Sus scrofa: one gene and its partners. The protein of the gene in region 7 purifies or fractionates together with the protein of the main gene of each other region. This does not show direct contact. Links are inferred from orthologs where the notes say so. Each region holds a gene or a part of one and is shown on either strand. Other genes may lie near its edges.

What was found.
Region 1: the proteins of CDC5L (region 7) and SNRNP200 fractionate together in Homo sapiens (co-fractionation; 4 studies listed by BioGRID and IntAct, with this or other methods). This does not show direct contact. The link is inferred for Sus scrofa from reciprocal best matches to the Homo sapiens genes CDC5L and SNRNP200.
Region 2: the proteins of CDC5L (region 7) and SF3A1 purify together in Homo sapiens (affinity purification with mass spectrometry; 3 studies listed by BioGRID and IntAct, with this or other methods). This does not show direct contact. The link is inferred for Sus scrofa from reciprocal best matches to the Homo sapiens genes CDC5L and SF3A1.
Region 3: the proteins of CDC5L (region 7) and SF3A2 purify together in Homo sapiens (affinity purification with mass spectrometry; 3 studies listed by BioGRID and IntAct, with this or other methods). This does not show direct contact. The link is inferred for Sus scrofa from reciprocal best matches to the Homo sapiens genes CDC5L and SF3A2.
Region 4: the proteins of CDC5L (region 7) and SRSF1 purify together in Homo sapiens (affinity purification with mass spectrometry; 4 studies listed by BioGRID and IntAct, with this or other methods). This does not show direct contact. The link is inferred for Sus scrofa from reciprocal best matches to the Homo sapiens genes CDC5L and SRSF1.
Region 5: the proteins of CDC5L (region 7) and SF3B1 purify together in Homo sapiens (affinity purification with mass spectrometry; 5 studies listed by BioGRID and IntAct, with this or other methods). This does not show direct contact. The link is inferred for Sus scrofa from reciprocal best matches to the Homo sapiens genes CDC5L and SF3B1.
Region 6: the proteins of CDC5L (region 7) and U2AF2 purify together in Homo sapiens (affinity purification with mass spectrometry; 5 studies listed by BioGRID and IntAct, with this or other methods). This does not show direct contact. The link is inferred for Sus scrofa from reciprocal best matches to the Homo sapiens genes CDC5L and U2AF2.

Annotation. Positions count from the first base shown.
Region 1 is NC_010445.4:46,946,066-46,949,565, forward strand, and holds part of SNRNP200 (U5 small nuclear ribonucleoprotein 200 kDa helicase), read left to right. Parts: coding exon 1-112; intron 113-265; coding exon 266-454; intron 455-1,442; coding exon 1,443-1,640; intron 1,641-2,311; coding exon 2,312-2,464; intron 2,465-2,576; coding exon 2,577-2,657; intron 2,658-2,941; coding exon 2,942-3,025; intron 3,026-3,500. UniProt on the Homo sapiens protein: Catalyzes the ATP-dependent unwinding of U4/U6 RNA duplices, an essential step in the assembly of a catalytically active spliceosome. Plays a role in pre-mRNA splicing as a core component of precatalytic, catalytic and postcatalytic spliceosomal complexes.
Region 2 is NC_010456.5:47,332,649-47,336,818, forward strand, and holds the start of SF3A1 (splicing factor 3A subunit 1), read right to left. Parts: upstream 2,801-4,170; 5' UTR 2,640-2,800; coding exon 2,577-2,639; intron 1-2,576. UniProt on the Homo sapiens protein: Component of the 17S U2 SnRNP complex of the spliceosome, a large ribonucleoprotein complex that removes introns from transcribed pre-mRNAs.
Region 3 is NC_010444.4:76,407,882-76,411,381, forward strand, and holds part of SF3A2 (splicing factor 3A subunit 2), read left to right. Parts: intron 1-2,191; exon of another isoform or gene 2,192-2,350; intron 2,351-2,720; 5' UTR 2,721-2,759; coding exon 2,760-2,885; intron 2,886-3,500. UniProt on the Homo sapiens protein: Component of the 17S U2 SnRNP complex of the spliceosome, a large ribonucleoprotein complex that removes introns from transcribed pre-mRNAs.
Region 4 is NC_010454.4:34,279,319-34,283,618, forward strand, and holds the start of SRSF1 (serine/arginine-rich splicing factor 1), read right to left. Parts: upstream 2,801-4,300; 5' UTR 2,711-2,800; coding exon 2,517-2,710; exon of another isoform or gene 2,090-2,516; intron 2,082-2,089; coding exon 1,897-2,081; intron 1,551-1,896; coding exon 1,378-1,550; intron 1,175-1,377; coding exon 980-1,174; 3' UTR 1-979. UniProt on the Homo sapiens protein: Plays a role in preventing exon skipping, ensuring the accuracy of splicing and regulating alternative splicing.
Region 5 is NC_010457.5:101,276,744-101,279,018, forward strand, and holds part of SF3B1 (splicing factor 3B subunit 1), read right to left. Parts: intron 1,084-2,275; coding exon 867-1,083; intron 593-866; coding exon 434-592; 3' UTR 1-433. UniProt on the Homo sapiens protein: Component of the 17S U2 SnRNP complex of the spliceosome, a large ribonucleoprotein complex that removes introns from transcribed pre-mRNAs.
Region 6 is NC_010448.4:59,772,735-59,776,989, reverse strand, and holds the start of U2AF2 (U2 small nuclear RNA auxiliary factor 2), read right to left. Parts: upstream 2,801-4,255; coding exon 2,752-2,800; intron 1-2,751. UniProt on the Homo sapiens protein: Plays a role in pre-mRNA splicing and 3'-end processing. By recruiting PRPF19 and the PRP19C/Prp19 complex/NTC/Nineteen complex to the RNA polymerase II C-terminal domain (CTD), and thereby pre-mRNA, may couple transcription to splicing.
Region 7 is NC_010449.5:39,390,897-39,394,396, reverse strand, and holds part of CDC5L (cell division cycle 5-like protein), read right to left. Parts: intron 1,752-3,500; coding exon 1,652-1,751; intron 1-1,651.

The DNA of each region.
Region 1 (3,500 bases), on a different chromosome or scaffold from region 7:
CCTGGCTTGGGGTGTGAATCTTCCTGCACATACTGTCATCATCAAAGGCACGCAGGTGTACAGTCCAGAGAAGGGGCGCTGGACAGAGCTGGGGGCCCTGGACATTCTGCAGGTATGGAGCTTTTGAGTGGGGACGAGTATGCTATATGTAAAATGCCAGGATGCCCAGAGGATGACAGGTGGAAGGTGAGGTTCTAAAGGTAGAAGCCTGGGATCCAGCCCCGAAGCTCTGTGACCACAGCCCTCTTGCTGCTCTCTGACCCAGATGCTGGGACGTGCGGGACGACCTCAGTATGATACCAAGGGCGAAGGCATCCTCATCACTTCACATGGGGAGCTGCAATACTACCTGTCCCTCCTCAATCAGCAGCTGCCTATTGAGAGCCAGATGGTTGCAAAGCTGCCTGACATGCTCAACGCGGAAATCGTGCTGGGGAATGTCCAGAACGCAAAGGTAGGGGAGGCCCCTTTCCCTGGCGCCTCGTGCCGTCTTCAGAGAGGCCTGGGTTCTGGGAGTGTGGTGATCTTGTGCGTGGTGCTGTGGGCCACCAGCACGTGGGGTCCTCCAACCCTGGGCCTCACGTCTCCTATGTAAGCAGGTTCTCATAAGCTGCTTAGGACTCTTTTTTTTTGAAGGGGGGCGGCGTGCTAAAAGCATGTGGAAGTTCCTGGGCTAGGAATTGAATCCACACCACAGCAGTGACCCGACCTGCTGCAGTGACAATGCCGGCTCCTTAACCTGCTGTGCCATAAGGGAACTCTCAGACTCATGTTTTTTTTTGTTGTTGTTGTTGCTATTTCTTGGGCCGCTCCCACGGCATATGGAGGTTCCCAGGCTAGGGGTTGAATCGGAGCTGTAGCCACCGGCCTACGCCAGAGCCACAGCAACGCAGGATCCGAGCCACGTCTGCAATCTACACCACAGCTCACGGCAATGCCGGATCGTTAACCCACTGAGCAAGGGCAGGGACCGAACCCGCAACCTCATGGTTCCTAGTCGGATTCGTTAACCACTGCGCCACGACGGGAACTCCTCATGTTTTTTAATAATGAAGTATTATAGGAGTTCCTGTTGTGGCTCAGCGGTTAACGAATCTAACCAGTATCCATGAGGATGCAGGTTCGATCCCTGGCCTCGCTCAGTAGGTTAAGGATCCGGCATTGCCGTGAGCTGTGGTGTAGGTCACAGACATAGCTTGGATCCCACATGGCTGTGGCTGTGGAGCAGGCTGGCAGCTACAGCTTAATTTTACCCCTAGCCTGGGAACCTCCATATCCCATGGGTGTGGCCCTAAAAAGCAGAAAAAAAAAAAAAGTATTGTAAATGTTCATAAGACAGCATAATACATGTTCTAATAGGAATTAATTTCCAAGTGTACCCTGGGAGCTTTTCACTGAGACATCAGCCCTCTGTGCTAAGACCCATGATCTGTCTCTTACAGGATGCAGTGAACTGGCTGGGCTATGCCTACCTGTACATCCGAATGCTTCGATCCCCAACCCTCTATGGCATTTCTCATGATGACCTCAAGGGAGACCCCCTGCTGGACCAGCGCCGACTGGACCTGGTTCATACTGCTGCCTTGATGCTGGATAAGAACAATCTGGTCAAGTATGACAAGAAGACGGGCAACTTCCAGGTGAGGGGCTGAGGGCTGGAGGCAAAGATCCCAGCAAAAGTTGTGGCCCCTGGAGACAGTTTTTTAGGTGCTGTCTTTTTTTCTTTTTTCTTTTTTGTCTTTTTTTGCTATTTCTTGGGCTGCTCCCGCGGCATATGGAGGTTCCCAGGCTAGGGGTCGAATCGGAGCTGTAGCCGCCGGCCTCCGCCAGAGCCACAGCAACGTGGGATCTGAGCCGCGTCTGCAACCTACACCACAGCTCACGGCAACGCCGGATCGTTAACCCACTGAGCAAGGGCAGGGACCGAACCCGCAACCTCATGGTTCCTAGTCAGATTCGTTAACCACTGTAGGTGCTTTCTTGATTTGAGTATTACCTGTCTTAATTGCCTGTTGCTTGGGACAGTCGAAAATAAGGTGGCATTGGCCTATGCCCTCTGAACCTAGGAACTTATAAGATGGCATTAAATCTGGCAGTGCTTCCTTTCCGTATCTTGAGCTGTGGTAGCTGAGTCAGCTCTCTTTTCTATGTGGGCATCACTTCCCTGTAGGTCAGTTTATCATGCCATCTCTGTTCACGTGTGTGGCCCAGGGGCTGGTTCTCTGTGTTCATCAGTGGGCACCTCTCGTCTGCGATGAGAGGTTGCCATTTGTCGGTGATCAGTGTTGGATTGAGTCTCCCTTCTTCGTAGGTGACGGAACTGGGCCGTATAGCCAGCCACTACTACATCACCAATGATACAGTGCAGACCTACAACCAGCTGCTCAAGCCCACCCTGAGTGAGATTGAGCTTTTCAGAGTCTTCTCATTGTCCTCAGAGTTCAAGAACATCACTGTGAGAGAGGTGGGTCCACACGGCATGTTGGGAACAGAAGTTGGTACTTACAGCCATGTCACTGGAGGGTTCTCTCCGTGGCCTCCTGGCCTTTCCTTGAGCTGTTTCCTTCTTGTGGTAGGAGGAGAAGCTGGAGCTGCAGAAGTTGCTGGAGAGGGTGCCCATCCCTGTAAAGGAGAGCATCGAGGAACCCAGCGCAAAGGTGAGTCCAGTTCCCCCGCTGGGGATAAGGAACAGGTGGTTTTCCTCATCTTCTAAAAGATGAACCTTGATTTTGGGCTTGGACTTGGTAAGCTGCTTGGTTGTCCTGGTTTCTGCATCCTTCTCATGTGTTCTTTTTACAGGAAGTAACGATTACTTAATGTCTTTCAATCGAGAGCTCTAGAGGGTCTCATCTGGCATGGGTGCCCACAGCAGAAATGCGATTCACTGTCTGGGGCGGTTCAGTGATGGGCCTCCTTCTGGCCAATTTTGATTTTTTTCCAGATCAACGTGCTTCTCCAAGCTTTCATCTCACAGCTGAAGTTGGAGGGCTTTGCTCTGATGGCCGACATGGTGTACGTTACCCAGGTGAGGGCAGGGCGGTGCCTCCTGTGGTGAGTTCCTCTCCTGTGTGCTCTGTCTGCGGTGAACAGTGAGGGAGAGGGGATGCTGAGCCTTCCCTCGATGGCTCGCTGGTGGGTGCACGTGTGCTGTAGCTGCTCTGTCGCACTGATGTTGAGTGTGTGGGAAGGTAAGGCCTTGAGAGGGATGCTGGGGAGGCTCCAGGGGACACAGTGTCTGCTCCCTGCAGAGAAGGCCTTCCCACTGTGGCTGCTGGGCTCATAAATAAACCCAGAAATGGCCAAAGGCTTTATTAGCTCCTCTTTGTCTTTACCTCTCAGGCTAAGTCAGTCCCTAAGACCCTTACTCTTGCTAGAACCCTAAATGCTAAATGAGCTAAAGGCTGTAAAGTCATGCAGTGAGCGGTAGTTGGAAGGCTGTGCTGTGAGCTCGAGCTGCATTTCTCTAACTGTCCTGCGTTCAGTGAGCATCTACTGTTAGT
Region 2 (4,170 bases), on a different chromosome or scaffold from region 7:
ATGCAGGCATCTACTCCCTTCCTCAGTCTCCACATTCAACGATAACAACATTCATCAAGCACAGAGTAGGTTCCATAGACTTTTCTAAGCAATTTAAGCATGTTAACTCTATAACCGTTTCAGAGCCCTATGGGGGTAAAGTGCTATAATCCACATTTTACAGATATCAAAACTGAGGAGGAGTTCCTGCTGTGGCTCAGCCGGTTAAGAACCCAACTAATATCCACGAGGATAAGGGTTCAATTCTTGGCCTCGAGGTCAGTGGGTTAAAGAATCGGGCGTTGCCAAAAGCTGTGACATAGGTTGCAGATATGGCTCGGATCTGGCATGGCTGTGGCTGTGGTGTAGGCCGGGAGCTGCAGTTGTGATTTGACCCCTAGCCTGGGAACCTTTTTATTCTGCAGGTGTGGGCCTAAAAAGACCTAAAAAACAAAAACAAAAACAAAAAACAAAACTGAGGAATGGAGACCTGAACTGGCCCAGAGACATCACTTTAAAAGGAGTGCCAGGGAGTTCCCATTGTGGCTCAATGGAAACAAATCTAACTGGTAACCATGAGGACACAGGTTGGATTACTGGCTTCCTCAGTGGGTTAAGGATCCAGTGTTGCCGTGAGCTGTGGTGTAGGTCACAGATGTGGCTCGGATATGGCACTGTGGTGGCTGTGGCGTAGGCAGGCAGCTACAGCTCCGATTTGACCCATAGCCTGGGAACCTCCATATGCCTCAGGTGTGGCCCTAAAAAGACCAAAAAAAAAAAAAAAAAAAAAAGATAAAAGGAGTGCTAGCACCATCAGCCCTTCTGTGACATGAGCTTGCTGGATCCCCTCTGTTCTATTCCCCTGCCACATATAGGTCAGGCCCTCAACTTTTTTTTTGTCTTTTTTGTCCTTTTTAAAAAGAGCCGCACCCGTGGCATATGGAGGTTCCCAGGCCAGGGGTCCAATCTGAGTTGTTGCTTCCAGTCTATGCCAGAGTCACAGCAACACCAGATCCAAGCCACGTCTGCAACCTACACCAGAGCTCGTGGCAACACCGGATCATTAACCCACTGAGCAAGGCCAGGGATGGAACCAGCAACCTCATGGTTCCTAGTCGGATTGTTTCCGCTGTGCCACGACAGGAACGCCAACATTTTTCGAATAATATGACCAACCTATCCTCCTAGCGATTCTCCACATTACTGTCTACCTGAATTTTGTGAAACACAAATGTCACTATCCAGCTTCCTTTTCTCCCAATAGCCTACTAGAAAAGTTCAAAGCCCCAGAAATACATCTCTTCACCACCAATTTCCCCAATTCTATGCTTTAACCTTTACACCCATCAGAGGTCCCATCAGTTCCTAGCTAGGTATCTTTGCACTTATCTGGTATTACCTTCTTTATTTTTACCAAGTTACTGGGAAAATGTTAGGGATACATAGGTGATTGCACTGATCAGCATAAAATATGTGCTCAATAAATGTTTGGTGAATGAATAAAGAATGGAATTTCCCTTCCCAATCCCCTATATAGTGAATTACCAATTCATCCTTCTAAACACAATTTACCTCTCACTCCCATGGGCTTCATCTATCTTAATCTCTCCTCTATCCCACCAAAGCAATGTTGATCAGAATTAATGTCTCCTTTGCACTTGATACTTATATCACACTGCAATTATCTATACACATCTTTCCTCCTTAGCTGATTAAGATGTTTAAAGGCTGGCTGGAACTGTATCATTTAAGGTGATTGAGGCAATAAACACTTATTGAGTATTCACTTATATCTGTCTCCCCACTAGTTCCCTAAAGCAGGAGTTGTGCTTCATTCATTAAGGTAAAGACAAAGCCTGGTACAGTATCTAGCTTAAAGGAAGCACAAAGGAGATGCTGAGAATTTAACAAAGTGGCACCATGCAGGCTGGGAAATTAAGGATTCCTGTCAAAGGCTTGTGGGGGCCAGTGGGCCCAATTACTGCAGAAGACCAGTGGATGCGCTGGATTAGTGATTCTCAAACTTCAGTGAATCACCTTTGGGTCTTGTTACAATGCAGATTCTGGAGTTCCCATTGTGGCTCAGTGGTTAACGAATCTGACTAGCATACATGAGGACGCATGTTCGATCCCTGGCCCTGCTCAGCGGGTTAAGGATCCAGCGTTGCCTTGAGCTGTGGTAGAGGTTGCAGATGAGGACTGGATCCTGCCTTGCTGTGCCTGTGGTAAAGGCTTGCAGCTACAGGTCCGATTAGACCCCTAGCCTGGGAACGTCCATATGCCACGGGTGCGGCCCTAAAAAGCCAAAAAAAAAAAAATGCAGATTCTGATTTAGAAGAAGTGGAAACTCAGCATTTCTAATAAGCTCCCAGGCGATGCTACACTTTCCACGGACTACACTTTGAAAACCACTGTTCCAAGCAGGCTTGTTTCGCTACTAGAAGGCAGGCGGGAAGCGCGCTGCCTCCTGGGACTTGGAGTTCCTCCAAGCCCTCCTAAACGGCTGCTACTTCCTCCGCGAGTGAGAAGCGCCCGCGCCGGAGGGGAGGGCTCAGGCCTAGGCTCAGTTGCCGGTGGAGATGCGGGGGTGGCTGTACCTGTTTGGGCTCGGTGGCCGCGGGCGGCGGTGGAGGCACCGCCTGCACGGGTCCGGCGGGCATGACGGCGACGCTCAGGGCTGCCAGTCCGCCTGGGCGTAAGTGAGCAGTGAGGCGTCAAAGCGGTTTCCCCGCACGGACTATGACACAAGCCCGCAAGATGGCGGCGGCGACTCGCCTGTCGCCGCCGAGGGGAAGAGGCTGACGTACTTCCGGGCACGCCCATCCCCGTGACGTAATTTCCCGCCCCTCCCCTTACGGGAGCAGCCAGCTCCCGACGCTGTTGCCATGGCAGCGGTCGAGGAACCAGGCTAGGGTTTGCTGAGGCTCCCACAAGCTACAGTCGCTCCGGGGGGGCAGTTCCATGAGCGGAGCAGACACGGGCTGAGGCTGCGACTCCAGAGACTGGTGAGACGTTTTACATTCCCCTTCCGACGTCCTCTCACGCCCCCCACGGCCCTGGCCCCCCTCTCCTTTACCAGAGTATTCCTCTCCCTCTGACCCTCGCTTTCCAAGGCCCCCGCTCCCTCTCTTTGGCCTCCCATTTGGCCAAAACCTCGTCCCCCAGCCTCTTTTTGCTTCAGGCCACCACCTCCTTCCCAAATATCAATCCCTAATTCCCTCTGGTACTATTTCCCTCTGGTCTTGCCTTTTCCAGGTTCCACCCCTGCCTTCCATAGTTAGGCCTTGAAATTCCGTGGACTAGCTCAAATCTGGCCGCCTTCTTTAGGCTCAACCTCTCACGCCCGGAGGTTTGTGCCTGTGAAATCTCTTCCCTCACTCCCCACTCCTCCCTCCGTCACTTCCAATCCCGCCCTTTTCGCTTCCTTTCCTGAGACCCTCTCTTCCCTCTTAACTCTGTAATGTGGCTCTCTCTGAACCCTTGCTTTCAATTTCTTCACCTATGAAATGGGGGAGTGATAGGAAAGGATACCCTCCCAATTCTCCTCCCCGCCTTTCTTCCTTATTTACACACCATAGTTGGTTTATGTCATTGTTATTATTAATGTAGAATGATAATGTTTGCTAGGGCTTTTTGAACATATACCATGGGTCAGACCCTGTGCCCAACACTACATGCATTACATTACATTACATTATTTCTTTCTTTCTTTCTTTTTTTTTTTTTTTTTTTTTTTGTCTTTTTGCCTTTTCTAGGGCCACTCCCATAGCATATGGAGGTTCCCAGGCTAGGGGTCTAATCAGAGCTGTAGCCACTGGCCTACACCAGAGCCACAGCAACGAGGGATCCGAGCCGCGTCTGCAACCTACACCACAGCTCATGGCAACACCAGATTCTTAACCCACTGAGCAAGGCCAGGGATCAAACCTGCAACCTCATGGTTCTTATTCAGATTACTCCTACATTACTTTATTTCTTATAGCAACTTATTTATGGATGAGGACAGTGAGGTTCACATCCTCAATTCACATAGCACAGTACGAATCCAAACCCAGGCCATTCTTACTCCTCTGCAAGTGCAATCAGTTACTTCTTTGTCTACACTGGAATTCCTTCAGTATCTCCTGGGACCCGGGCAGTTAGCAATCCTGAGTCAGACTGACACTGCCACATAAATGGTTTTAGAGTTTC
Region 3 (3,500 bases), on a different chromosome or scaffold from region 7:
AGACGCGGCTCGGATCTGCGTTGCTGTGGCTCTGGCGTAGGCTGGCAGCTACAGCTCTGATTAGACCCCTAACCTGGGAACCTCCATATGCCATGGGAGCGGCCCAAGAAATGGCAAAAAGACAAAAAAAAAAAAAGAAGTAGTGCTTTTCAACTAGTGAACTCAGTGGGCCTGGCAAGGTGCTAGGTTTTGGAGCTGGTGCAGGCCCCCAACCGTCAGTCTAAGAATACTTTCTCTGGCACTCTTTTCCCAGAAAAGACTCCTGATCTCCTCTGGACCAGGGACTCCTGCCTTCTGGTCACAGTGGGGTGGGGGCTGCCTGTTGTTCAGTAGGTAGGTTTGAATGGACTTGCCATCTGTTCAGCCTGGCTTCACCGCAGCTTCCCTAGGGCCACTGTACCTGCCTCATTGCCAAGAGGCCCTTCATCCCAGTTTCTGAGAGAGTGAAGCGCTGACTTGCCAGGGAGTTGGTGCTGAAGCTGGGCCCAGGGCCACTCGGATGCAGGGCCTCCCCTCGGGTGTGATCAGTCCCTGGCTGGAGGCCGCCTGGGTGTGCTCTTCCCTGAGTGTCGCCCTGAGCGTGGTGGGCAGTACAGGCTTGTGGTCACTGTTTTATGAGATGATGGTGATGGTTGATGGCTGTTGTCTTTCATACCTTGCTTTACAGGATTCACAAGTTAGAGGCCCTGGCTGGACTTGTATGAATAAAAAGTCTAGCCCTGTTAATTCTGCAGCCAACTGAAAGATCACCCCACTGGTCACCAGATGTGAGGTTTCTGTTAATTCATCAGTTGCACTGCAGGGAGATGGTACAGCTGGCCTGTGCCCGGAGCACTAGTCTCCTGTGGCCGATGCAGTGAGCCACCACAGACTTGGTGGCTTAAACGACAGGACTTAAAAATGTAGCTCTGGAGACCACAAGTTTAGCAGAAGTCGCACTGAGCTTTATGCCTTCCAGAGGCTCCAGGAGAGAGTTGGTTCCTCCTTTTCCAGCTTCCAGAAGCACTGCATCCCTGCCCCTTCCTCCATCCTCAGTCATCAGCATGGCATCTCCCATCTTTCTCTGCCTCTGACCCTCCCGCCTCCCTCTTATGAAGACCCTGTAACAACACTGGGTCCCCCGGGGAATCCAAGATCACCACCAAATCAGGGGCCTTAACCCCATCTGCACTGTCTCCCTTGCCACATGAGGTGGCTCATCCAGGCACCCTGGGGTTGGGATGGGGATGTCTCTGGAGGGTTTTATTCACTCCTGGGCCTCATCCCTGGGAACCTACCCCAACAGAGACATGATAGCACCAGTTTAAATCAGGGGGCCCTGGAGTTCCCGTCGTGGCTCAGTGGTTAACGAATCCGACTAGGAACCATGAGGTTGCGGGTTCGGTCCCTGCCCTGCCCAGGGGGTTAACGATCTGGTGTTGCCATGAGCTGTGGTGTAGGTTGCAGACTCGGCTCGGATCCCGCGTTGCTGTGGCTCTGGCGTAGGCCGGTGGCTACAGCTCCAATTCAGCCCCTAGCCTGGGAACCTCCATATGCCGTGGGAGCGGCCCAAGAAATAACAAAAAGACAAAAAAAATAAAAAATAAAAAAATTTAAAAAAATAAATAAATCAGGGGGCCCTGAGGCCAGCACTGGCCAGCCAAGGACAGTGTAAGATGAGAGAAAGGTGCCTGGAGGTTGGGTCTGAGCCTGAAAGTGTGGAAAATGGGCAGTGGGCCTGGCTGACGAGGATGTGGAGGAGAAACTCAGTATTTTTCTCCAGAAAGCCCTCCTCAGGTGCGAACAAATCTTAAACATCTCTTGTGCATTAGGCAGTGGGGGGAGGGGGCAGGTAAGTAGACTTGTTCCTTCTCTCCAACAAATGCACAGCTGAGCCAGAGAAGTAGAATTTAGGGAGTTTCCATCGTGGCTCAGTGGAAACAAATCTGACTAGTATCCACGAGGACACAGGTTCGATCCAGGCCTCACTCAGTGGGTTAAGGATCCAGCATTGCTGTGAGCTGTGGTGTAGGTAACAGACATGGCTCAGAGCCCATGTTGCTGTGGCTATGGCCTAGGCCGGCAGCTACAACTCCCAGTTCATCCCCTAGCCTGAGAACCTCCACATGCCACAGGTGCGGCCCTAAAGAAAATAAAATAAGAATTTAGGTTGTGGAAATTGAGTGTAGCCGTTCCCACTGTGTTTCAGCAGGTTAAGGACTTGACTAGTATCCATGAGGATGTCGGTGTGAGCTGTGGTGTGGGTCGCAGATGCAGCTTGGATCCTGTGTTGCTCTGGCTGTGGCGTCATAGGCTGGCAGCTGGCAGCTCTGATTTGACCCCTTGGCCTGGGAATCTCCATATGCTGCAGGTGTGGCCCTGAGAAGCAAAAAGCCAAAAAAAAAAAAAAAAGTGTAGATAAGCAGAAAGGGAGCCACGAGGAGGGAGTGAACACTATGGGCTAGGGCAGTCTGGGAAGGCTTCTTGGAAAAGGTGAGACAAGTAAGAACTTGGCCTCACCTTCCCCGTTAACACTTCGGGTCTCTGGGCCTTTGCATTCCTCAGGCATCCTTATTCCTCATTTCTGTGCACATGGCTCATCGTGGGCCCTCAGCCCAGTCTTCTGGTGGCCCAGGGGCTGGCAGGGCAGAGAGAGTGCAGAGTGGGGGTGAGTCTGAACCCAGGAGGGCGAGGTCTCACATGCAGCAGCCTCATGGCTGCCTTGGCCTTGGCCTCGGCAGGTTTCTCCCCTGGTCTGGTAAACCCCCAGGGCCCTCGCCATGGACTTCCAACATCGCCCCGGCGGCAAGACCGGGAGCGGGGGTGTGGCCTCCTCCTCTGAGAGCAACCGGGATCGCAGGGAGCGCCTGCGGCAGCTGGCCCTGGAAACCATCGACATCAACAAGGTACTCCCTGGCCCCGTAGCCCTGCCCACCATTTTCTCTGGCCTCAAGGTCCTGCTCTGAACCAGGGCACTTGACCTAGAACAGCAGCTCTCGCTATCCCCCATAGACCATTTTCTGTTGGTAGCCCCATGTTTGAAGGGTTTTTACCACAGGAAGCTTTACTTAGGCAGAGGCCTGTGGGATTGCCAGTGGTGAAGCCTCAGAGGCCCAATGTGAGTTAATAACGTTGCAACCACAGGCAGCGAAGACCAACAGTTATCTGTTGGTGGACAGGTCCCCCCCACACACAGCACTGTGGACATGTAGGGCCAACCTAGGCACCACGGCATTTAGAGTAGCCCAGGAGCCCCCAACACTGGATGCCCGGAGCTGGCCCAGTGTCCCCTAAGAGCGGAACCACCCAAGTGAGACCCCAAGGTGAGGGATTCCGTGGACCCCAGGAGGCTGTGCTCCACAACCATCTGACCCCTGAGGTCCTGAGATGCTGCAGCACGTTTAAATACACACCTGAGTGGGAGGGAGGGGGTTGCTCACAGGTGCTGGCGGCCACCCAGGTCTATACCATCTCACCATTGGGAGTTTATTCTGCTGTGCAAGCCAGGGATCAAACTCAGG
Region 4 (4,300 bases), on a different chromosome or scaffold from region 7:
AGTATTCCCAACTAGATTATCTACACCAATAAATTGGAATTCTATTATTTTGCTTTCATTTTGTCTTAAAAAAATGAAGTAGCAACGCTATTATATCAGTCACACAGAGGACATGCAGATTTAGCAGTATTGATATTATACTCTATCTGGTTGGAATTAAAGACACCCTGTACCCACAAGTACACCAACAGCAGGTCACACATTAACAGTTGTAACTAAGCACTGTGACAAATTAATCAGTTCTTCCCACATTAGTCCCTAATAAAACAAAAAAGGGAAGGGAGCAAAACAAATTGTTACAAAATGGGCCATGTAATTTTGCCACAATTGCCAGAGTTTTAAAGAGTAAAGCAATTGTAGCCAAATATAACTGCATAAAATGTTTTCAAGTGTTTTAAGATAGATGTATATAATCACTTTAAACCCTTGCCTTTTAGTATAAGGTCAATACTGCCAATTTCATCTGTGACAATAGCACTTGGAGTCATACCATTGCCTCCATTATTGATCTGATCCTCCTCAATCCTCCTTTTGACAATCCTAAAATGATTGAAATGTGCTCCACAATCCTTAATCCAAAGCATTCTTAATCCATCTCTTCAGATATGTCTACAGAAAGACACATGAAAAGCAAGATAAACATAAGAACTTCCCCAGGTAAGATAACCACCAACACCCCCAACATCCCAGTTCACACAAACCAGAGCAGAATAGACATTTACACAGTATCACAGTCTGAAGAGCATGGAGAGTTAACTAAATTTAAACAATCCTGTCTATGACATCACTTAAAATACAATTTATCAGACATGAGGGGAATGTAGATGTTAGGAGCAAGGGGATATTACACAAGAATGCAATTCAACACTTTAGCCCACTCTGAACAAAAACAGTTTTGAATTAAAAAATGAAAAGATTGTACTGAATAAAGGAAAACTGTATACAACATGGGTTCTACAAAAAAGTGTCACCAATCATCTTATGTACGAGAGCGAGATCTGCTATGACGGGGAGAATAGCGTGGTGATCCTCTGCTTCTCCTTGGGGAATAACTGCGACTCCTGCTGTTGCTTCTGCTACGGCTTCTGCTACGACTACGGCTTCGAGATCGAGATCTTCCATAACTTGGACTTCTGGGCCCATCAACTTTAACCCGGATGTAGGCAGTTTCTCCCTATTGGATAGACAGAACTTTCGATTGAAAGATCTAAGCTTTCACCTGTCTTCAGGCATGCTGAATGAATCAACGTAACTCAAACCAGAAATCTGGCACTTTACTGGGTTTTTACTTGGACACCCTTGCCTGAATCTTACCTTCAAATTCCACTGTTAAGACCACTGTATCCAATTCTGGCCAAGGAAAAGAATATAACCTACCTCATGAGATCTAAACTTAGTGTTATCCAGTTTTCGAACTGCATAGGTCATATCTTCTTTCCGTACAAACTCCACGACACCAGTGCCATCTCGGTAAACATCAGCATAACATACATCACCTGCTTCACGCATGTGATCCTTCAAATCCTGCCAGCTTCCACTTGGAGGCAGTCCTGAAAAAGTGCGTTTTCTTTCAATACCAATTATCCTAAGTTTCACATTAAACATAAAGGTTACATTAAAACAAGACTTAAAACCAACGGTCTTTAACATCCCGTTTAACGAGCTGTTAAAAGAGTTCGGAATCAAGAGTCCAAAATTATTTGTAAAGTTAAGGCTCTTCTTATCTTCTAGGTACTGCAACCTAATTCGCTAAGTCTCAAATAGAGTAGTCCTTGTTAACTAAAGTCACCCAAGGCACTCCGGTTTAAGTGAAGACCTGGCATGAAAACACCAAGAAAAACTTCAAAACGGTGTGCGGTCCCCTTATCATCAATCCGCACGGACCCGCCAACTCACCAGAGACAACCACTCTGTTTTCAGAACGCCTGGATGGGGGGCCATAGCGCCCTCGGGGAGCCCCGCCGCCACCACCCCCGCCGCCGCCTCGGCCGGTACCACGGCCGCTTCGAGGAAACTCCACCCGCAGACGGTATCCATCGTAATCATAGCCGTCGCGACCATACACCGCGTCTTCTGCGTCTCTGCGTGACCAGAGAAAGCCAAGGGGTAAGGAAAAGAAGAAAAAAAAAAAAAAAGGGCCAGGAGGGGCGGCTCACTCCGCCGGGGAGCGAGCGGGCCCCCGCACATGCGCACCGGGGTGGAAGAGCCCACATGCGCCGCATAATAGGAACGGCCCCTCCCCCACCCAGAAGCACGCCAGGCTCCCGACCACTCCAGCAGCCCTCGGCGCCTCAGTTTCCCGCTCCGAGCCTGCGAGTCGGCTCTAGGGACGTCCGTGGGGCCCGGCCACCAGAGGAGCCACGCCGACTCGGCTCCTTACTCGACTCCTGCATGGGCGATATCGTCTGGCCCCCAACCCAAGAACCCACCGCCCCATTCCCCAAGTGAAGGCCCCGGAGCCTTCCCCAACTACTCCAACCTATTTCCTCAAGGCCGCAAGCCCCTGGCCGCCTCACCGCGGGTCCTCGAACTCAACGAAGGCGAAGGGCGGTCCTCCGCGGCGATTCTTCAGGTCGATGTCGCGGATAGCACCGTATTTGTAGAACACGTCCTCAATGTCCTTGGTTCGGATGTCTGGAGGTAAGTTACCCACGTAGATGCGGCAATCGTTGTTCCCTGCCGGGCCACGGATCACACCACCTCCCGACATGGCGGCGACGAAAAGCGCGGACTCGAGAACAGGCCTTCCCACCAAGCCTAGCGAGCGGGAGAGCGAGCCCGCAGCGACACCACGTCTCCCGCGGCCCCTCCAAAATGGCGCCTTTATCAGCTCGGCGCACGGATATGGGGGGGAGGGAGGAAGAGAAGCGGGAGGAAGCAGCTATTCGATCTCACTACGCACGCGCAAGAGCGTAACGGGTGCTGCGAGAGTGACGCTCGCGCAAGCGCGACGTCACCCTCCGCGCGAAGGGAAAAAAGTTCCCGCCTTCCCGATTTGTCGAGGGGTTTAATAAGGGAGTGACCAGCCTTGTGGCAAAATTAAATATAGAGCTCTCGTAAAAGGGGTTATTAATCTCTGTCGAATCCTAAAGAATCAGCAGTTTCCTCAGGAATGTTTCTCTCAAAAAAACGGCGTCTTGAAAGTATTTGGTGAAACCTAGCCTAAAGCTAGGTCCCACCATGCTCTGCGCTGTTAACGGCCTTTGGCGGGAAAGACTGCCGGGGGCGGAGTCAAAGGGGGAGGGACCAGGCGGTTGCTCCGGAAACACGGGCATCCTTGGAGAGTGCACCTCGTTCAGGAGTCGCGTTGCGGGTGAATCAACGCGGAGCCGAGACGTGACTTTGTCTTCCCGCCCCATCTGCGAACGGGCCGTGGACTGCTTGGACGACTGTCTAATGCAGGGGAACCTGGCTGAGACGCTTTAATAAATATTCTACGCTAAGTACCGTTCCACCTTCGGTTCAGAACTGACCTCAGTTCAACGCTCCTTGTGCTCGTGGCGGTAATTCCTGGCGGCATCAGCCAACCAGGACCCAGACCTCTGCTTCTTTTTTAAATCACCTATCGCCAGGGCCCAGCGCAGCGGAGAGGTCCAGTGAAGGTTTGCAGAATGAATTGTGTCTGTTATTTCTACAACGTCTTTCAAAGAACGAAAAAGACGCGCGCCCTCCTGTTTGTATTGCAGAATCCTGACGTTCCTTCCTTTTTTGGAACTCATTAGCAAATCTCTCAGGTAATATGAATGAGCAAAGTGGATGTGTGAGGATTTCTGTGACCACTGGAGACCGAAGTGGCGGCTTAAGGACTCATCTCGCCAGCATGTTGGTCCAGGGAGATAAGAACTTGTTACATTTTGCCACGGAGCCATCTGAAATCTGGATTTTTATATGAAATACTGGGATTTTAAAATATTAATGGTGAATTCAAATTAAAAAAAAAACCCTGTCATAAATATGCTGAAACAGGTCTGCACCCTGATTGAGAGGATGATTTTCTTCATTTTTATTTATTCGCATCAATCCCTCTCCCCAGTGATGTGATGCTGTTTACAGAGATACCAGAAAACGTTATTGCAATTGAATGGAGAAATCACGGAGAATATAAGGGGAAATTAAAATGAAGTCATGGATAAAGTTAATACACAAAATGGCTGCAGTAAAAATTTGTGAGTTCTAAAGATGGATTACAAATTTGACCCTAGTCATCATGGCAGTCACAGTAAAGAAGGAAACAGTATATTCAAGATCCAAAGTGCCTTAAAAAGATTTTTCAGAAGGTCATGTTTTCAGTTCTAAAAGG
Region 5 (2,275 bases), on a different chromosome or scaffold from region 7:
CCAGGTGACAGAAAATGATAATTAAGCCACTTATTCTACACAAACCAATACTTGATCAAAGTTCCGCATTTTACAAGTCATGTTTAAAAAACACACACAAGTTATTAGCATTTTGTACACAAATGTTTATTTCTCAATTAAACATTCCCTTTAAACATAAGGAATGAATTCTAAATCTTCATAAAGATGAATTACAAATGAAATCCCTCCAGTATAATGTGTGTATCACTGTGTTCTTGGTCACTACTGGCGTTTACTGTTTACATCAAAAACAAAGACAGGTTATTTAAAAAATCATGCTACTGGATTTCTAGCTCTTCTTCTATGACCAGTTCTACGCTGATCTGCAATGTTTAAAAGTTTACATCACCAAATCGAAGCAAGTTTAAGTTGTGAAACAGCTGTGCATTAAACACAAAATTTAACAATAAAGTTATAAGATATAGTCAAGTTCATAACGAATATAAGTATTCTTATCATCATTGTAGATTCTTGGGTAATGTGCTATGAGAGCATCCTGTGAACCAATGTAGATGGAGTTGTAAATTTTCCAGTACACATCTCTGACTTTCCGGGCTGGGTGAAACAAACCCTGGAATAATTAAAAACGTTGCATTATTTCAAGAAATACATAACTTTAGCATAACTAACAAACTAACCATATATATGGCTGTAAACATTTCCCTTTAGAGGGGGAAAAACCTAACAACTGCACAAAATTGCAGTAGGAAAGGACAATATCTAATCCTCCTTCCCCAGATAACCGTTTTCCCAAAGGGCACATCCCGTTGATAATTAGGAACAGTAAATTAATTCAACTAAATTATTTTTTTCAACAAGCACACTTTAAAAAATCTGTAACCTACCTGTAAACAATACTGCAGCATTCTACATGGTCCAATAGCAACTCTCAGACCCTCCAGGGCCCCCATAACTGCCTGAATTACATGGGGAGAGGTCTCAAACACATTGGGCCATACATAGTTCAACAAGTGATTCAGCGAATCTTCACAACCAAATCCATAAACCCCAAGTGACATGTGTTGCACCACCGCACTAGCCGTCTGTCTATGTACAAGGTCCCTGAAATGGAAGGGGAAAAATGCTCTGTGTTAAGATACAGTCTTAGTTTTACAGAAAATACCTGCCTGTCCATTGAAACTAAATCACAAATTCACTGCATAGAATGGATTGAGAGTCATCCTCACACGGTATGTATGTGATGTAGAATGCTTTTATAGAGACTAATTGAGACTTTTGCTGTAATAACTCAAACCTCACTATGGCTCAAAAACAAACCACATTTATTTTGCTTTGGAAGTAATGAGCTAAGAAAGCTCGGTGCAATGTACATTTTTGTATGCTACTAAAAGGGTTATATGACTGTACATACAAGTGATTAACAGTAATATCTCATTTTAAACTGTAACTTTATTTATTTATTTATTTATTTAGTATTTTAGGGCCGCCCCTGTGGCATATGGAGGTTCCCAGGCTAGGGGTCAAATCAGAGCTACAGCTGCTGGCCTACACCACAGCCACAGCAACATGGGATCTGAGCCATGTCTGTGACCTACACTAATGCTCACTCAATGCCAGATCCTTTACCCACTGAGAGGCCAGGGATTGAACCTGCATCCTCATGGATAGTAGTCAGATTTGTTTCTGTTGAGCCACAATGGGAACTCCAAAACATCATAAATTTAAAATCTTCTAAAGTATTTCAAGTATTTCAATATCGGCATACAATAGATAACTAAATTGAGATTAAGCCCCTTTCCTTATAAAAAAAATTTTAAGTTTCATTCTCAACTTGGGGAAAGGAATAGAAGGACCAGTAATTCTCTCTCTCTTTTTTTTTTTTTTTTTTTGTCTTTTTGCTATTTCTTGGGCCGCTCCCACGGCATATGGAGGTTCCCAGGCTAGGGGTCCAGTCGGAGCTGTAGCCACCGGCCTACGCCAGAGCCACAACAATGCGGGATCCGAGCCTCCGCGTCTGCAATCTACACGATCTACACCACAGCTCACGGCAACGCCGGATCGTTAACCCACTGAGCAAGGGCAGGGACTGAACCCGCAACCTCATGGTTCCTAGTCGGATTCATTAACCACTGCGCCACGACGGGAACTCCCAAAACATAAATTTTTTATTTCTGCCACACCTATATATAGCATGTAAAGTTCTGGGGCCAGGGATTGCACCCTCGACATAGCAATGAAAATACCAGATCCTTATTAACCCACTGTGCCACTCAGGGAACTCCACAGAACATAA
Region 6 (4,255 bases), on a different chromosome or scaffold from region 7:
GCTTTTGCCTCACATGTTTTTCTGATGCAATTAAACATAAAACTTTTCACAAGTGAACTCAAACTCCAGAACCACTAAAAGACAGAAAAACACGCACCTTGGAAAACAGAAAAAAAAATTCCAGCCAACACTGCAATGGTACCTAAGACTAGATCCTGTGCTAGCTCTACTTGAACTTAATCTTGTTACCTTGGGGAGACACTGCTAGAGGCTCACCTGACAGATGGGAAAACTGAGGCTCAGGGAGGTCATGTGACTTGCCCCTGGCCAAAAAGCAAGGAAGTTGTGAACACTGAAATGCCCACAAGTGCAGTTAAGCACTAGGCAATACTCAACATGGGGCAGCCAGAACACTCCAGGGTCTGGCGGGAGCCCCTAAAGACAAGCGGTTACCTCCTTGAAGACACAGACTGAACACGAAAAACAAATCCAAGCCTGGAACCAGGAGGCAAGTAGCATGAAGTAGCAGGTAAGCATGACACTGAGGGCCCAGAGGTGTGCTGGCCTGAGGCTCTGGGCCTCTGGCTCCACTCTTGAAAGATGGGCCAACTATAAAAACAGCGTCTTTTGTGGCTTTGGTTCTGAAACAGACAAGCAGGCAGAGAGGAACAGACACAGAGGAAGAAGTGGCGCCTGCTGGGTGCCTGAGACACAGACAAGGAAATTAATTCCCTGGAGACACAGGTGCACAAGGCAGGGACTGAGGCTTGGAGGAGGCTTGGACCACAGAGACAAAGACCCACAGGCACAACGATACTAGGGCAAAGCTTCCCCTTAAAGCAACAGTAGGTTCCCTGCCTCAACCCAAACAGGTCAGGAAGGAAAGGCAGCTGTGGTTACTCAAAACGCTGTGATCACTTTGTTGTGGGAACAACTCCACCAGCCCAAGGGACGTGCCAGTACCAGTGGGGACACCCAAGAGAAACCAAGCAGCACGTGTGCAAGTGCCCCAAGGAAGGTTCATTCAGTTCCATCTAGCAGTCCAGCCTAGGGGCACGTGGTTTTGCAGCCAGACTCAGGATCAGCTTCAGCTCTTCTGTCTACCAACTGCATAAAACCACAAAACAGCAACCGTACCTTCCAACCTCAGTGTTCCCGGTCTTTTAAACGACGCTCATCCCGCCCCAAGTGTGGGACATGGGATAATGACGCTGGGAAAGCACCTCTCCCTGCTGTCCCAACTCTGACACCACCTCTGAGGCAGCTCAGGGCAGCCTCTCCATTACCTTCCTAAGAAATTTCACTAGGGATCATTTCACAATACTCCTCGTTAGGCACTTAACGAATGCCAGACCGTATGCCACACACTGTACACACATTACCTCACTTAACCTCAGCTGCAACTCTCACCAGCTAAAACCAAAGAAAGTTTTTCAAGCTTTCTGAGCCTGCTTCCTCCTCTGCAAAGGAAAGGAAGTCATGTCAGTCCCCCACGGCTGTTGACCATCTACTTAAATAAGCCGTGTAAAAGCTTAGCAAAGCACTATCAGTACTGCCATCACCATTGACTCCAGAAACCGGTAATAAAGACACATACCTATTTAACAGCCACTACACACAAGAAAAGGATTAAAAAAAAAAAAAAAAAGCATAGACGTGTTAAAGTTCCACAACTACTTAGCAACAAAGCAGGTACTAGAAGCCAAGTCTCCTCCCCTCCAAAGCCTGTGCTGTGAAGCGTTACAACGTGTACAGACACCCCGTGGGCACTCCGAAACCCGACTTCGTCTTCCCCAGGCGCTGTCTCCTCCTAAACCAGCCACCTGCTCCCAACTGCAGACTGGGCTGAAAGGGGAACCCCAGCGCCCCCCGCCCCCTGTGCAGTCCTCTGACCACAAGGAGCTTAGGCCTCGCGCTCGCCACCTCCTCCAGGCCTAAGTTTGTTCTAACATTCGTGGGGTGTCCAAACTAGTCGGCACTAGCTCGGCCTCCTACTTGGACTCCGCATCACCGGAGGGACTTTGCCTCCCATCCTCCCAACTGAGCTAAGTCTCCCTACTCGCTCCGAGCCTGTCTCTTTATCGCCACGTTGAAAAGGCGGACACACGCGGCGCCCGGAGGGTGGGCTCGTACAGAACAGGGGACCTGTCTAACTGAGGAGATATGGGGGGCAGACACGCCACACTGTGCCTGGCGCGACGGCGCGAGGGAGAACCGCGTGCGGGAGGAACACTGAAAACGCACAGTGCGGACCTCTCCCAGGAGACACCGCATCACCCACGTTAGGCTGGAAGGGACCCCGGCGACTAGCCCCCAGGAAAGGCGCGAAGGGCGGCGGTGCGAGAAGGGCCCACACCGCGGCCCTGCATGCGCCCACGTGAAGGGGGGCTCCAACCGCCATTTTGGAACAAAGGGGGCGTGGAGACACCGGCCGCGGGCCCGGCCGGAAGCGGAAGTGCGAGGGCATCGGGAGAAAAGGAGGGGTTGCGGGACCCAATCTACATAATCTCCTTTCCAAATTAAAAAAATAGAAAATAAGTCCGCAACGGACTCCCGACAGCCTGCGGCGCCCGCGCCACCCGCGCCGGGGGCCACGTGGGGCGCGGAACCGAACGCGGCGCGCATGCGCCCGCCGCCCCCTCCCCTCCCGCGCGGCGGCACGCCGGGCGGTCACGTGAGTAAGGCGCGCACCGCGGGGTGGGGGGGCGCCGTGCGGGCCTAAGGGGGGGAAGCGAGGGGGAAAATGGCGGGGGACACAGGGGGAAGCCGAGAGCCGCCCCGCCCGCCGCCCCGCACCCCCGGCGCCCTCACCTTGCTTATTCTCGTTGAGCTGCCGCTCGAACTCGTCGAAGTCCGACATGCTGAGGCGGCCGCGTAGGGCCCTGTGTAGCTCTCGCCTCGCCTTGCCGCGCGCCCGATCCGGCCGCTTCGGCTACTTCCGCCGCTTGCTTCGGCTACTTCCGGCCGCCGCCGGCGTTCCACCGCCTCCTACCTAATCAAGCCCCTGCCGCCCGCCCAGCCCCGCCCCGGCTCCGCCCCTCTCCCCGCCGGCCCGCCCACGAGGCGCACCTCCCCCCAGGGCCTGGCTCCGAAACGCGTCGGCTATTTCCGGACCGTGGAGGAGCGAAGGGAGAGGCGACTTCGGCTGCTTCCGAAAACACCCGAAGCGAGGGTTTCGCAGGCTTCTCAGGTTTTCGTAACTTTTCGGATAGTAGCTCTTCAACGTTCGGATGTTTCCGTAGGTCCTCGCATTCCTAGCACCCAGACTCCCCACTTAGAATTCAGCTTCTTCCAAGAACTCAAACCGTCCGTCTTTGGCTGCTTCCACGGATTCTACCCTCTCTTTCCCAACGGCCCTGTCCAAGCAATCGGCCACTTCCGACAATCCTAACCGTCCCGGATTTCGGCACTTTCCGAAGGTCTCTGGCGCTCCCCCTCGGGCCCAACCAGAGATTAAACCCGTTTCCAAACTTCGGCTCTTTCCGGAGATTCCAAGAGCAACCTCCTCCCCCTTTCGGAGAACTTCGGCTCCTTCCGCCACCGCCTGGGGAAGGACTCACAGCAGACACCTTCGGCTTTTTCCGTGGGCGCTTCGGCTCCTTCCGGCTCCGGGAACCAAAAAGGGAGGGAGGACAGAGGCGAGGTGGGTCAGGGGAAAGGAAAAGAAGAGGCAGGGTCTCGGCTCTCAGCACCCGGCTCTCCCTGTGGGGCGATGGGAGGAAAAGAAGGACCGATGTTGAGAAGCGCCTAAGAAGGTTTCGCGAGACAAAAGCAGCCAGCGGAGTGAAGAGTGCGCGCGGCTGCTGCGGAGGTTGCCAGCGCGGCTTTGTGCGCATGCGCAAAGTGGAAGGGGCGAGCGCGAGAGAGCCTCTGCGCCTGCGTAGAGATCGGTCTGAACCGAGACCTCTCACTGTTCGGAGAGGGGGGGCGGGTCGTCGGGGCCACAGCCCGAGCGCGCGTGCGCGAGATTTCCTTCCTCCAGGGAAGGGACTACATTCCCGACCGTTGAGCAAGGCCGCCCCCTTGCGGTTGCCGTGGCAACCACACAAGCGAGCGTTCCCCCCCCCAACCGCGCCGACGCTGCTAGCCACGCAGCGGGCACTTCCGGGAGACAGAGAATCTCGCTTTACCGCCTCCTGGAGGCAGTCTCTGTTCAGAGCTCCCCGCTCCCCTCGATGGTCGCCTCTCCCAAAAGTCATTGAGTCCCGCCTTCTGCCGCCTTGCCTCTGGTCCAAGTCGGCTCATGCCTCCTTCCCGGAGTTCTGCTCCTCCGAGTTGTTCAGGGCACAGCTGCTTCTCTCCTCCCACTCCTGCC
Region 7 (3,500 bases):
CCAGCATAGTGGGTTAAGGATGTGGCACTGCCTCAGCTGCACTGTAAGTCTCAACTGTGGCTTGGATCTGAACCCCGGCAGGGAACTCCACATGCCATGGGGAGACAAAAAAAAAAAAAAAAACAGTGGAAGCTATGGTGAAAGGCAGTTGGGAAGAAACTGATAGATTCATTCACTGGTGATACTGGCTAAACTGCAGACCCACTAGTTTGCCAGAGAGACTCTTTCTCTTTTGAAAAGTGGGGGAAGCCCTTCCGGGGTCAGAACAAATATCAAACCTTCACCTCAGAAACAATCCCTTCAAAGGAGCCAATGAAGGGATCACTTTGTGGAGCAACTTATGCCCCAAGATATTGTTGAAAACAATACAGCAATAAGCTGACAATTAGCAGAGTTTAACAGCTGTGCATAGCCAAGGGGAAAGATGTCAAAGAAAGTCCTATCAAAACCACATCATCCCAAGTGACTGGTCACACCCAAGACCATCCCCACAAGGAGCAAGATCAGAGGATTCCCATTGTGGGAGGAGGGAAGGGGAGGACAGACTTCACTAAAATAACCCTGCTGGTCGCAAAACAAGTAAACTAGAAATAACACTAACCAAGAGGGGATGCGGGGGACACGTACACAGAATTCCTACGATGGAGCATCCAAAGCATCCAGTTCCCAAAAAAAAAAGGTAAGACATGCAAAGAAACAGCAGGAAAGTATGACCCACACACCAGAAAACAAGGAGGCAACACCTGAGAGCAACCAGATGTCAGATTTAACAGACAAGACTTCAAAGGGGCAGAAGTATGTTCAAAGAATAAAAGGAAGCCATGATTAAAGAAGGAAGGTAGGTTGAAAACATTCATTAAAAAGAGAAAATCGGTGAAAGATAGAAATGATTAAAAAGAACCAAATAGAAATTCTGGAGTTGAAGGTTATTCCTGCCTGAATTCCAAAGCTAATAAGCTCTTAGAAAGTTCAGGTTTTCTCTTTATCCACTTCACCTTGGTTTCTAGGCCATTAGGCATAATGTCAATCATAGATCTAATCAAAAGGAAGGGGAAAATGGAGACAACCTTGAGTCGAGGGCAAAATGTAACTCCACTCATTTTTTAAATAGAAATTTCTATGACAGCCTAAAATCCAGTTCAGGGCTCATTAACTCCCTCTGTGTTCAGCCGAGTTTCCTGTTTCACAGCTGGTGTCAGTGCCTGTCCAACACTAATCAAGGAGAGTAACTCCCTGGCAGTCGCGCCAAAGTCCCAGAGCCCTGTGTGTCCTCTAGGCATCTGAGGCCAAGAGGCTAGAACAAATGAAGCTATTTTATGCTAACAAAATTAATTAAACACACTGAGAGAGAGAGAGTGCCCATGCACGCGCGTGTACACCTGCACATAAATGCATGTCTGTATCTGGGCACTGCTTCTGCCACATTTTACAAAACTTTTTTAAAATACATATTGTTTCTATAACTATTCTGAAATGGTTAGGAGAAAATATTTAAGGCTTCCAAAGTAACAAAGACACTAAAGACTATTAGAAAACTGGAAGTGAACAATTCTACTTATCACTCACCTAATGAGGTTGATAAATCATGCAATTTTACTGAGCCTAAGGATACACAGCCTAATTGTTCAACTATGGATGGAAGCAACCATACCTTGCCTCTTCCAACTGTTTCTCTCGTGCTTTCCTCTTGGCTTTCTTTCCCTGAGTATTAGCCAGGCGGGCTCTAGCTTCAGAAAGCATCTCGAGTTCATCTGCAAAAATAAAGAGAAGAAAAACTAACTTCTCCAACAGAAGCAAAGTATGCAAGAGACAGAACCTAGGGCTTAAGATGAGAAAAATCATAAATATAATCCTTATAAGGTATAGCATAAAGGAAACAGTTTGGGTTTTGAAGTCAGAGAAACCTAAGTTAAAAACCAGGCCCACCACGTGCTAGTTATGTGACCCTAGATAATGTATTTACCCTCCCTGAGCATGTTTCACCATTTACAAGATGAGAATAAAAAATGCCTACTTCTGTTGCAACAGAAGAAAGAGTGGGGGAAAAACTGTAATTGCAATGTATACATGTAAAGATAACCTGACCCCCTTGCTGTACAGTGGGAAAAAAAAAAAAAAAGCCTACTTCATAAATAAATAAATAAATAACAAATGCCTACTTCATCAGGACGTTGAGAAAAAATAAGTAAAATGAAACAGGTATTCATCAAGCAAGAAGTCATTATAGTGGCCGTAATTATCATATCCTTCATTATCACCAACTACCTGGCACAAAACGAATTGTGAAAAACTGGAGTTCCCATGGCGGCACAGTGGTTAATGAATCTGACTAGGAACCATGAGGTTGCGGGTTCGATCCCTGCCCTTGCTCAGTGGGTTAACGATCCGGCGTTGCCATGAGCTGTGGTGTAGGTCGCAGACACGGCTTGGATCCTGCACTGCTGGGGCTCTGGCATAGGCTGGCAGCCTACAGCTGCGATTCGACCCCTAGCTGCCCCGGGAGCGGCCCAAAAAATGGCAAAAAGACAAAAAAAAAAAAAAAAAAAAAAAAAAAAAAAAAAAACCTGGAAAAACTACTATTTAATTATAAAGGAATTGATAATCTTCATTATCATTTTTCCTTCATTTTTCTCCCTCAAGACTATTGTTTTCCTCCACTACATTTTTCCATGGGTCCCCAAAGAATAATATATTTCATTACTGATACCTTAGGGTAATTTCTATATAAGGGTATCAATTGAAATCACAAGGGAATCTTAAAAAAAAAAAACCCTCAGATTTCAGGATTATCCTCGCTTCTTCCCAAGTTACTGATTCAGATCTCCTGAGGAGGCCCTGCCACCTCTATTTTTTAAAGTTTATCCTGTGACAATGACGCAACCAGCCTAACTACAATCTGCCTTTGGGAACCACTACCTTCAAACTTTTAAATTAAAAACTCAACAAATATTCACTGAATGCTTCACAATAGCCCTGTGAAGTAAGATAGATTATTACTCTCCATCTGACAGGAATGAGAATCAAAGTTCAGCAAGATTACATGACTTGCCTAAAAGTCAAACAGCTAATAAGCGGCACACACCGCACTAACTAGATTATAGTTCCTCTGACTCTTTTTTTTTTGGCCACACCCACAGCATGTGGCAGTTCCCCAGCCGGGGATCGAACCCGTGCCACAGCAGCGACCTGAGCTGCTATAGTGACATCAGATTCTTTTTTTTGTTTTGTTTTTTGTTTTTTCTAGGGCTGCACCCACGGCATATGGAGGTTCCCAAGCTAGGGGTCTAATGGGAGTTGTAGGCTGCCAGCCTGTGCCAGAGCCCCAGCAACACCAGATCCAAACGGTGTCTGCGATCTACACCACAGCTCACGGCAACGCCGGATCCTTGACCCTCTGAGAGAGGCCAGGGATGGAACCCGCAACCTCATGGTTCCTAGTTGGATTCGTTAACCACTGAGCCACGACAGGAACTCCGACACCAGATTCTTAACTCACTGCG